Linked DNA regions of Oryctolagus cuniculus. The protein of the gene in region 3 interacts with the protein of the main gene of each other region in a pairwise test. Links are inferred from orthologs where the notes say so. Each region holds a gene or a part of one and is shown on either strand. Other genes may lie near its edges. The genes, in order: NR4A1, ZNF496 and PGBD1.

Evidence for each region.
Region 1: the proteins of PGBD1 (region 3) and NR4A1 interact in binary tests that used the Homo sapiens proteins (3 or more experiments, as listed by UniProt). The two-hybrid records come from large-scale screens. The link is inferred for Oryctolagus cuniculus from reciprocal best matches to the Homo sapiens genes PGBD1 and NR4A1.
Region 2: the proteins of PGBD1 (region 3) and ZNF496 interact in binary tests that used the Homo sapiens proteins (3 or more experiments, as listed by UniProt). The two-hybrid records come from large-scale screens. The link is inferred for Oryctolagus cuniculus from reciprocal best matches to the Homo sapiens genes PGBD1 and ZNF496.

The regions. Positions count from the first base shown.
Region 1 is NC_091442.1:55,341,611-55,345,728, reverse strand, and holds the start of NR4A1 (nuclear receptor subfamily 4immunitygroup A member 1), read right to left. Parts: upstream 2,821-4,118; 5' UTR 2,308-2,820; intron 1-2,307. UniProt on the Homo sapiens protein: Orphan nuclear receptor. Binds the NGFI-B response element (NBRE) 5'-AAAGGTCA-3'. Binds 9-cis-retinoic acid outside of its ligand-binding (NR LBD) domain.
Region 2 is NC_091437.1:1,716,794-1,721,185, reverse strand, and holds the start of ZNF496 (zinc finger protein 496), read left to right. Parts: upstream 1-1,497; 5' UTR 1,498-1,748; intron 1,749-2,497; 5' UTR 2,498-2,624; intron 2,625-2,858; 5' UTR 2,859-2,897; coding exon 2,898-3,287; intron 3,288-3,435; coding exon 3,436-3,607; intron 3,608-4,392. UniProt on the Homo sapiens protein: DNA-binding transcription factor that can both act as an activator and a repressor.
Region 3 is NC_091436.1:153,755,465-153,758,487, reverse strand, and holds the end of PGBD1 (piggyBac transposable element-derived protein 1), read right to left. Parts: intron 2,280-3,023; coding exon 722-2,279; 3' UTR 540-721; downstream 1-539.

The DNA.
Region 1 (4,118 bases), on a different chromosome or scaffold from region 3:
CAGGGCACGTCGGGGGTGGGGGAGGGGCGCTGCTGCAGGAGTTCAGAGGGAGTCTGGGCCGCGTGTGTGAGCACCAAGGAGAGCAGAGAGGTGTGCATGTGTGCGCGTGTGTGCACGTGTGCATGAATGTGTATGCATGTGTGTGAGTGTGTGTATTTACAAGAGTCAGGAGCTTCTTCCGGGTCTCCCACATGGGTATGGGGACCCAAGGACTTGGGCCATCTTCCTCTGCTGCTCTCCCAGGTACATTAGTAGGGAAATGGATCAGAAGTGGAGCAGCCGGGACTTGAACTGGCGCCCATATGAGATGCCGGCGCTGCAGGCTATGGCTTAACCTGCTGCACTACAGCACCAGCCAATTAGGGGATGTAACACCTAGTAATTTATAAAGCATTACTATTTTCTTGGGGAAGGTTTTTACTGTTATTTGAGGGGCATGTACCAGACCTAGCAGTTCAGCCACCTCCCACACCAGAGTGCCTGGGTTCGAGGGCCAGCTCCCGACTCCAGGGCAGACCCGGAGAGGCGGCGGTAGTGGCGCCAGTGGTCGAGTTCCCGCCCCCATGTGGGAGACCTGGATGACATCCCGTCTCCTGGCTGCAGCCCTGCCCAGCCCCGGCTATTACAGACTTTTGGGGGAAATGACCAAATAGGCCGTCTGCTTCTTTCACGTAAGTAACAAATAAGTAATTCAAAAAATTAAATAAAGGAGACAGAGCTCCTATCTGATGATTCATGCCCAGAATGGCCAGGGCTGGGCCAAAACTGGGAGCTGGGAACTAAATCCAGGTCTCCCACGTGATCTCTAGTCATCACTGCCTCCTCCCAGGCTCTGCATTGGCAGGAAGCTGGAGCCAGGCCTTGAACCAGACACTAGGATGGGGCCCGTGGGCGTCTTAACCGGCATCCTAATAGCTGGGTTAAACGCTGGCCTGATCTGTTCAGCAGCAGGTGTCAACAGGTGCACGATCCGGGTGGCCCCATAGGTCTGAGCACATGAGCGCAGCCCCCGGAGGCGCACCGTCCCACTCCCCACGTGGTCTGTGAGAGTCTAGCCCAGGCCACTCAGGACCTCGGGGTTGGTGTGTCTGGTGCTGTCCTCTGCGGTGGGCATCAGGGTGTGCGGGCGCCCCCTTGTGTCCACGACCATAAGTGCAGGGACAGAGCGGACTGGAATGGGAGGCATGGGAATGCGGCTGGCGTGCACTCCCCTCCCACCTGCAATTCCTCAGGCTCAGGACTCCGAGGTGCTAGGGGAGCCCCCAACTCCCCCGGCGCCGGCTGCAGAGACCCAGCGGTGGGCGCGGCGTGGCTGTGCGCGGGGCGGTCCCTCAGCACCCACACCATAAATGTCCAGACACAGAGGCACTTTGGGACGGTCCTCTGCAAGCCAGGCAGGACTGCCCTCCCGGGAAGGGCTGGGTAACCCGAGCTGCCGATGGGCCCTCAGGTCACCTCGGGAGCACAGGGCTGTCAGCTGACGGCCCAGAACCATTCATCATGCCCCCAGCCCAGCCCGGCCAGCCCTGGTATGGAGCAGCTTATGTAAAAGCTGGCAGCCAGGAGCTGAGTGGTGGGTACTTGGAGCAAGGGCAGGCATGCTCCAGTCTCCTCCGTGGAGGGCCAGCCCCTCAGAGTGCATGCTGCCCCGTGGACGTGGGTGGACGGAGCCCAAGATTCTGGGTGGAATCACCATCAACAGGCGTGGGGGTGACAGCCACCAGCACACCTCCGCCATGGCCTGGCTTCTCCCTCCTGTGAGCCAAGCCCGTGGAGCAAACTCCTCCAGCTGCCCTGGCCTCTGTTCTCTGTCCCCGTGCACCACTAGAAGAGGAGGCGTTGTGTCCACTGTTGCACCTGTGCCCACCGCTGCGGCCACCTCTGTGGGCGCTGGGAGGCTCAGCCTGGTGGTGACACTGGGCTAAGATGCACCTGCTCTTGGGTGGCTTCACATGGTCTTTTAGGTGTGCTGGGCCTGATGATAACTCCTAGCTGTCTTCATCCCAGCCCGGCGCGTGGCCTGGGGCCAGTTCTTTAGGCCCTTGTGCCTCAGTTTCCCCATGTGCGGGACAGGGACAGAGATGCCACCTACAGCCCTGAGCTACCGTGAGGAGCAGCTGCGTGCCTGGCCGAGGCGCTCAGGCAGTTCCTGGCGCGAGAGCAACGCCGGTATAAGTGTTGGCTATAATTAGACAATGTCTGGAGGCGCTGTCCTCAGCTCTGGCTCCTAATAAGCTCCTGGTGAAAAGTGGTTGCTATTTTTAACCTCCGTCTCCTTCGCCGTCTTAATCCCCTTCATAAACTCACCTCCGGGGCAGCCTCGAGACTCCTCTAAGTCGCCTCTAATTGGCCCTCTGGTTGCCAGTCTGCTGCCACGACCGGTTACAGACGCACAGCAGTCACATCGGCCAGGTGTCTACCTTCGCAGAACGTCTTGTGCGCCCGGGACAGGCTGTGATGGCTCCATCAGCTGCTGAGCGCTGTGTCCCAGCCACCAGTCCGGGCATTCTGGCCTGCGGCACACAGCGCGCCGGCCCATGCAGCCAGAGCATGCCAGCTCCGCCTGCCAGGGCAGATTAGCGCGGGGGGCCCTCCCGCTTCCGGTCACAGCGGTGGGAGCGCCGAGGCCTTCGGGCTTCGCTGAGACACCTGCACTCCGGAGCGCTGGGCGGTGGCGCCCTCCACCGGGCACAAGTGGCACTGCCGCCCCTTGGAAGGGAGCAAGGCTGTCGGACGGACGTGCACGCCCGAGCGTAAGCAGAGCGGACCGTGCGCCAGGTTGCAGGAACCGAAGGGGTGAATAAAGAACCTCGGAGAGCCTCCACTTTTCTTGCACGTGCCTTCTAGTGGAGGGGTGACGTCGTGCAATGAGAGCTGATTATACAGGGGCCCGCAGCAGGGTGCGTTTCTGCAAGAGCGGGCACCCGGGTGAGGCCAGGGAAAGCAAAGCGCCTTTACCCCGAGGCAAGCGCATCGGTACAGGGCTGAGCGGGAAGATGCTGAGGTGAGGAATTCTGCGGACGCTGGTCACGTGCAATGCTGGACAGGGGGCAAGGTCCGACCCCCTGTTTGTCATCACAGCAGCAGCGGCAGCAGAAGCACCCCCTGCCAGCTCCCAGCGTCCCGGGGCTGGCGGGCGGGACCGGGCTAACCTGAGGGAGAGGCCCTGACTCCTGGCAGACAGTGGGGCCGGCACCGACATCCCTACATTTCCAGGAGGGAAAGCCGGACGCGCCAGTCCCAAGCCTTCCCGCCAGGGGGCGACGCCGCCCCGCAGCTCCGCGAACCAGCGCGGCCGGAGCGTGGCCGCCGCGGGCACCTAGGGGCGGAGCTTGCAGGGCCACGGGTCCCGCCTGGGCGCGCGCCGGGGGAAGGCCCCCGCGTGGGCGGCGGCAGGGGCTGCACCTGGTCTCCGGGATTTCCTAAGGCGACGCGATCAGCTGCCCCAAGAAGCGGTTGCTCACTCGGGCGCTGCCACCTGCTTCCCGCCTGGTCTCCGCCCCCACCGCGGGTCGCAGCGGCTGCGAACCACCCTCCCCCCCTACCGGGGGCCGAATCTGCCTTGGCGTCCCAGCCCTAAGCACCTCTCAGGGCGGGCGAGCGTGGGCACTGATATGCTGCGCGCCTCCCTCACCCGGCTTCAGCCTAGTCCACAACCCGGTCTAGTGGGCAGCCGGCTCCAACCCCCGCCGCCACCCCCCTCCCCGCCTGGTCCAACTCCTGGTGTAGACTTGAACCCCCAAGAGCCGCCGCCAGTGGGGAAGCCCTCCGTTGCCCTCTGTCGCTGAGCCGGTCAGCAGGTCCCGGGTGCTGGGACACGGATGTGGCCATTGGGATCCAATATCCATCCAGAAACTCTTAGGAGGTACCTCGGGCACTCCTAAAATAGCAACGCCCCAGCCCACGCCAGTACTCCTGGGTCAAAATCCATCTATCTATTTACCTACCTACCTACCTACCTACCTATCTGGAACGCAGTGCTACAGAGAGAGATCCTCCATCTGCTGGTTCACTCCCCAAACAGCCCCAATGGCCGGGCATAAGCCAGGAGCTGGGGCCTCCATCTGAATCTCCCACATGGGTGCAGGGGCCCAGGGACTTGGGCCATCCTCTGCTGC
Region 2 (4,392 bases), on a different chromosome or scaffold from region 3:
CTGCTTAACCCTTTACCCCACAACGCTGCCCAGACTCTACTCTTGTTTCCTGGCCCTTGCCCCTTCCCACCAGCAGCCAGTTGTGTTCAGGATGCCCAGCATGGCCTGGAAGGCCACCAGGACCACAGGTGCCTAGCAGGTCCTCAGTGCAGGTTTGCTGAACGACTGAACCATCCCACAGACCACAAAATGCAGTTGGCAGCATCATCCCTGTTTCTTGAGGAGGAAACCGAGGCACAGAGGAGTTACAAGGGCCTGTGGTCATCTGGCTAGGAAATGACGAGGCCCCAGGAGTTAGCCCAGGTGCTGACTCAGAACCCAGACTCTGACCTCTGAGCTGAGCTAAATGCAGAAGGAACACAGAGGAGGGGCTTGGCAGGGAGCTGTCTCTCAGAGGAAAGATCCTAACTGCTGGTGGGACCAAGCTGATGGCGGCAACCTCAGAACCCTACATTTTACCTACTTTAGAACTACAGGGTGCGGAGCAGCGAGCACCAATTCCAGTCCCCTAGAGCTGGTCCCAGACTACTCATGGACGAGCACACCAGCTGTGACCAGCACCTGAGTCCAGGTGTGGCTCCTGGCAGGTGCTCTTACAGGGCCCTTCCACATCCAGCATAGCCCCTGCCACTTGGTGGAGAGCCAGGCCAACTGGGGTCTGGCTGGCAGCCCAGGAGGAATCGCTGTCCACACAGGAGCCCCACTCCTTCCCTAAGGAGCCAGAGGATCCCAGCATCTAACTAGTGCTGGCGCCCATTGCAGTCAATGCAGGAGGGGAGGAAGGGGCTCAGGCCCAAGGCACCAGGACAGCCATGGCCACTGGGCCTCTGGTATCCAGACAACCCTCCACCTACTAGACCAGGCCACCTTTAGGGAGGAGGGCTTCCCACTGCTTGCCCTTGAGGGTCTGAAGGAGTCTGCCTTCCCTCTCCTCTCCTTGCCCTGGAGGGGGACAGAGGATGGAGCAGGGCGTGGAGCGCTGGCCACCCAGACTCAGGGCCTGACAAACCGGCTGGCCCGGGGAAGCCCCATCTGAAACGTGGGTGACAGCACCGGGGCAGAGACCCTAACTCCTTCACCACCTCCTGGGGTCCAAGTCTTGTCTCCCCTCCGCCCCTCGGCTGAGCCAACGGCCGCGCCTTCGGGACTCGCGGAGATCAGGCGGCGGTGGAGCAGGGAGGGGGTGGGAGAGGCCTTCCTGCGCCCCCAGACCGCCCTCTCCGGGAGTGGGCGAGGGGCACCGGGAGGGGAAGCGCCCCTGGCCCGCCTTCCCGGGACGTGGGCGAGGGGCACCAAGGAGGGGAACGGCCTGGGCCGGCGCGACCCCCGCCTGGGCCCTCGGCACGCCGGGGCCGGGGCCCGGGCGGGGCGGGGCGGGCCCGGCGGTGTCGGGTGTCGGGTGTCGCCCCGCGCACACCTCGGCCGGGGGCGGGAGCGAACCACTGAGATGCGGAGACCTCCGCCGTCCTAGAGCGGAGCAGGAAGTGTCCCGGGGGAGGGCGCGCGGGGTCCGGCCTTTCCGCGCCTCGGCGTCCGCGGGCTCGGCGGCGCCCAGCGGCCGGGGGCGCGCGGCGGGCAGCGGCGGGGCGGGCGCGAGGCGCGGCCGCGCGGGCGGCGCCGGCCCGCAGCGAATCGGGCCCTGCGGGGAGGCCTCACCGGAGAGGATCAGCGGCGGCCGCGGCCGGGGGCTGGATCCGGCGCCGTGCGAGGGGCCCGGGTGGACGCCGGGGCCGAGCCAAGGCCGCGAGGTGCGCGGGGTGGGAGGAGAGTGCGCTCCTCGGAGGATCCCGGCGGCCGCGGCCCCCGGGGCCGCCCCTCGCGTCTGCCGGGCCGAGCTCGCGCCAGGGGCCGGGGGACAAAGGGGCGAGGGGCCTGGGTACTGGGGCTGCAGGTGTGGCTGGGAGTCCCGGGCCGGTGCGGAGCGCGGGCAGGTGGCGCCGACGGGTCACAGCCGCTGGCCCAGTGCCCGCTCCGTGCGCCGGCTGCACTGCAGAGACCTGGGTGCCCATCGGAGGTTTTGCAGCTGCTCTGGCCTCATGGGTCCTCCTGCAGAGCAGGAGCCAGGCCCGCACGGCCTCCTCACCGGGACGCCTAAGCGGCGCTCACGCCCAGGTGTCAGTGCAGAGGGGGTATGAGAAGCAGATGCCGGGCAGGGCACCGTGCCGCCACCTGCCCGCCCACTTTTCCGGTGCTCAAGATGTGCCTCGGGGACCCGCGCTCAGCTGCAGTGGCCTCAGGTCCCCCCGACGGCAGCGGCTTCTGCGGGGCTGTGCCTCCTGCATTACAGCCTGGGATTCAGGAGCTCTGAGCCCGCCGTGGGAGTGCGGCGTCCCGGCCTGCGCGGGAAGGACTGTGGGTGGAGCCCAGAGCAGGGACCAGGTCTCTGGGTGGGGACAGGGCGACTTCAGATGGGGTAGATGTCCGAGTGAGTTGGCCGACAGACTCGTGGGAAGACCTGGTGCTAGGTGCCTCCCTGTTTTTCTGTGGCAACCTGCAGGTGCGGCCTCTGGTGACCTCCGGGTCCGGCCCAGGCTCTTCCCAGCCGCGCTGCAGCCCAGGGTGGGGTGCTCCGAGTGTGTAGGCCCGCAGGGCGAGGGCAGCCACTGGAGCTCCGAAGCTTCAAGGTAGAGGGCTGGGCACCCGTGGGTCCTGTCCAGATCGACCTGCTCTCCCGAGGGCCACTGGAGGCTCTTCTCCCGCTCCCCCACCCCTTCCACCCCCACGGCATTAGGGACCCAGGCGGTGGCACTGTCCTGTGTCCAGAAGGGTTGTTACGCACTCCAGGGCTTTCCCGACCCCCTGCCCCAGGCGTGACCCCGGGACCCAGCGTCGAAGCCGCGATTTCTGTTTGGAACCAGGTTTGTCTTCCGCCGCTGACCCCGTCACTGCAGCTGGTCATGCCCACGGCGCTGTGCCCCCGAGTCTTGGCTCCGAAGGAGAGCGAAGAGCCCCGGAAGATGAAGAGCCCCCCAGGGGAAGACCCCGGCCCTCGCGCCGAGCCGCCCAGCCCGGAGTCCTCCCGCCGCCTCTTCCGCCGCTTCCGCTACCAAGAGGCGGCGGGGCCGCGTGAGGCGCTGCGCCGCCTGTGCGAGCTGTGCCGGGGCTGGCTGCGGCTGGAGCGGCGCAGCAAAGAGCAGATCCTGGAGCTGCTGGTGCTCGAGCAGTTCCTGGCCATCCTGCCCCGAGAGGTGCAGAGCTGGGTGCGGGCGCAGGAGCCAGAGAGCGGCGAACAGGCAGTGGCCGCGGTGGAGGCGCTGGAGCGCGAGCCGGGCCGGCCCTGGCAGTGGGTGAGCTGGCGATCAGCCCCGGTCCGCGTGTGGGAGGGGCCACTGCACCTGCCCGGAAGGAGCCTGGGGTGGGCAACTGTGGAGTTGTGGTGAGCCCCAGCCCCGGTGTGCTCTGCCTCAGTCTGAAAAGCCCCCTCTGGGGTTGCAGCTCAAGCACTGTGAGGACCCCGTGGTGATTGAGGATGGGGAGCAGGAGCAGGAGCAGCTGCAGGCGGAACCGCACAGGGACCTTGCTGGGGGCCCAGACACCGAGCCCGTGGCCCTGGCTCAGAGCCCGGGGCTCCCAAGCAGACCTCCAGGCCAGCTCAGTGGGGATGCAGGTACGCAGCCCCTGGCGGCCCTGTGTGGTGGGTGTGGGCTTTGTTAGGGTGGTGGCTCTTGACTCCCCTGGCCCCTGAGGAGCTGTGAGCCATTCCCAGAGTGTGGGTCCGTCCCTAGGACGATGGACTCAGAGCCTTATGGGGACTTCTGCCCTCCCAGAGGGAGCGCTTGCAGAGGTGGGTGTCTTGGAGGTGCATCTCTGCACCGTGTCCACAGCTGTGGCCTGAGCTTCCGGGAACCTGTGGCCCCAGCTGAGCGGTGGCCTGCAGGGTCCTTGTGGTGTTCCAGGGAGGCACAGGGAGGTGGCAGGCCCAGGTGTGGTTCCAGTGCCATTGGATGGGAGGAATCCTGGTTGTGCAGTAGTCTGGGAGGCCAGGGGTCTGCTGTCATCCTTGGCATTGTAATCAGCTTTTCACTAGAAACAAAACACCTGTTAAATCCACATGCAATACTGTACAGGATTCTGCATGGTTAAGGTGAGGTGGGTGTGTGAATTCCAGGGCTGCTCACTGGGCCCAGGCACAGGGGCTCTGTCACCGACTTAGGAGGGTGGGCACCTGGGTGTGTTCCAGTCTGGGTAGGTCTGGGCTCACCCTCTGGAGCTTTACCTCCTGAAACAGCCCTTCAAGTGCAGTCACAGCCTGTGCTGCTGTAGGGTTGGAACCTCAGCATGAACTTGGGAGCACATCCTGCCAGAGTCAGTGTCTGTGTATACGGCCTGGGCCAGGCAGGGAGAGGCCCTGAGTGTGGGGGCATCGTCCTGGACCAGGCAGGGAGAGGCCCT
Region 3 (3,023 bases):
CACTAATTCCAGACCCATTCATTAATCTCCTTTGGTAGTTTCCTCAGGAGTATGATGTCAACTTAACTCTTTTATCTTTCCTTCTCATGACTCTCCTGTTACTCTGTTGCACTGTGTGCTCCCTTTTTTGACTTCTGCTAACTCACAGTTGGAGCAGGACCCACTTTGCATATCACAGGCATTGATCTACCTTTGGACTTTTCTTCAGGGTTCTCTCCTCTCTGAACATCCAGGCAGCCCTCCTCACCTACACACAACCTGAGCCAGTTTTCTCACCAATGCTGCAGTCTTCAGCCTCTTATTACCCATGTTTTATTTAGATCATCACTACTTATGGGCTCTACTTCTATTTTGGACTGTGGATTTAGTGCCATTCTATGGTACTGACATTGCCTGCATTTTTAAATTGGCATTCTCTAAAGAAAATGTTTTTAAAGAGGCAGGATTTCATTCTTTTTAACTGCACAAAATAATCCAGCAAATAAGTGATTTCCCACACCTGACACAAAATTAGACAGAGAAAGGTACCACTGGAGGTCAACATTTTCACAGGTAATTTTTATAATAGTATTTGAAATTCTATATAAACATCTGATTTAAAAATACTACTTAATTACTTAGTTTCATTATATACATCAAATTTGCTTTGGTAGGATACAATCTAATGTGTAGTTAGAATTTTCTGTGTCTTTTGGTCCATTCTACTTCCATTTGATTTGCCTTAATCTGGCAGATTAGTATCATGTCCCAAGTAGAAATGGGCAATGCATCTTCGAAAATCCAGTAGGTCTAGAGAGGCACCTGGGTTGCAGGCTCTGTGTAACTGCCATGCATTGTTCACAGCTACATCAATCATGTAGCTCACCAAAATTGAGTACCACTTCTTGCTCCTTATTCTTACCCTATATTTGGAAATAATTTGATCCATTTTAGCTACACCTTTCCTGCATTCATCAAACAATTTCACAATGGACGGTTGACTTACCTGAGGGATCTCTTGATCGTCAGCAAAACAACTTATCTCACTGACTGGTTCTATGCCTACAGCATTGGAGCACAGACTGATAATGTCATCGCCATGCCAACGGCACAAAATTATCTCATCATTTTCTTCCACTCGAAAATCAAAATGCCCCTTCTTCATTTTTCTCATATGTTCTGAGTTCATCAGTGGACATTTTTCAGTCCTATTCTCACGTATTGTTCCTGTTGCCTTCACGCCCTTTTTCTTCAAAGCTGACACTAATTTGACACTTGTAAAGAAGCTATCAAAACACAGGTGATAGGGATACTGACCTCTCTCTAAAAGGACATCAGCAAAATTCATCACTAGATTTCCACCTAATCCAAGATCAAGATCCTTATCTGCCTCCATGGTTGATTCTTCTTGATAGGGCTCAAACCAAACCAGATAACCCTGTGTGGTTGTGCCACACCAAATTTTATAGCCGATTCTAATAGGCTTTCCGTTCAGGAATTGGTCACTATCAAAGCATTCACACATTGATTTATCAAAGCTGTAATATTCTTCTAGGGGAGCATACAAGAGGAAATTTTTATTCATTTGCTTTATGAGAGGCCTCAATTTTGAAAACTTATCCTTTTGATCTAGGTGGCTGTTATCTGCAAAATGCAAGTATGAGAAAATCAATTCAAATCTATCCCTTCTAATGGCATTTCTGACCAGGTTCTGATCAGCATCAGAGACTTCCCAATACATTTCCCTCCTGGGACGCCTTACAAATCCACTCCAAAGCAGGACACCAAACACACACCTCATTTCCTGAACTGTGACTTCCAAGTTGACATTTTTTTGAGAAGCATAATTATTGGTTTCATTGACAATCAAATTGAATGTTTCATCATCAAAAAATAACTCAAAGAGCTCTACTGGGTTCAACTTTTCACTCTTGAGATTTAAAAGTCCAGAATCCAATGCCGACCAGCTTGGAAAGTTGGGCTGAATGTCTCGTTTAGTCCAGTTCCTCTCCGGGACACCAGACACCTTCGGCTTCTTCTGAGCAGGCTGGGTCTCGGACTCGTTATCTTCCTCCACATCTGAGTCATCAGAAAACGCGAGTCCTTGGAGCAATTCACTCACTCGAGCTTTGTCCTTTTTTCTCCCTTTCCGGGTAATGTCTCCTGCGGCATACTGCAAGGATGCGATGTGCATCCGGGCCCACGAATCCCGTGGGAGACGGGCCTTCAGCGTATTCAAATGGGAGACCGTCCTTTCAGTGGGAACAGCAGTACTACCAGGGATGTGAGGCGCGCAATCTCTGGGAAAGTAAAAAGAGTACATGCTACCAAGTCCTCGTCTCAGCCTCTCACACATGACAAATCTGAAGCAGAAATCTTTTGTAACCCAGGGCAGGACAGACAGAAGGTTGGGGGGTTGGCTGCTTGTCACTGCTCAGAATTCTGTAGGGAGGATTTCAGGTAGAATTAAATTTTCTGGCCTCTCCCACCTCTCACTCACTCCTCAGGTCATAACTAACCGTGAATTCCAGGAGAAGCAAATCTGACATCCTTTGTGCAGCCCCTCCCTCTACAGACATTCCACTTTCCTTTCTGCCCTGTTCAGGAAGACACCCGCTCTACTCCTTCTCTGCTAGTGCAAGCCTGTTTAGCTCTGTCTCTGAGCCATTTCCTCCAGTCTGCCTTCTGTCAGTGGTAAAGTTGAGGCTTCCAGAAGCATCTGCTGTACTCCCATGTCCCTGTCAATTGTTCTTGAACTTGGACAAGGAAGGAGGTGGTAATTTACCAGGTCTCCTCACACCTCTCAGAAAATTTGTGAACACAGGAGGAATTAGCCTCTCCTAGCTCTACAGTCATCTGGTGACATAATTCTCTTGGGAAAAACAAAACAAAACAAAAAAGGAACTCAAATTCATTGCAAATTAATGGATTTGTATGGGGTTTTCAAGGAAGTAAATTAAATTTTTAGAGTTTTTTTTGGCTGGTGCCATGGCTCAATAGGCTAATCCTCCGCCTACAGCGCCGGCACCCCAGGTTCTAGTCCC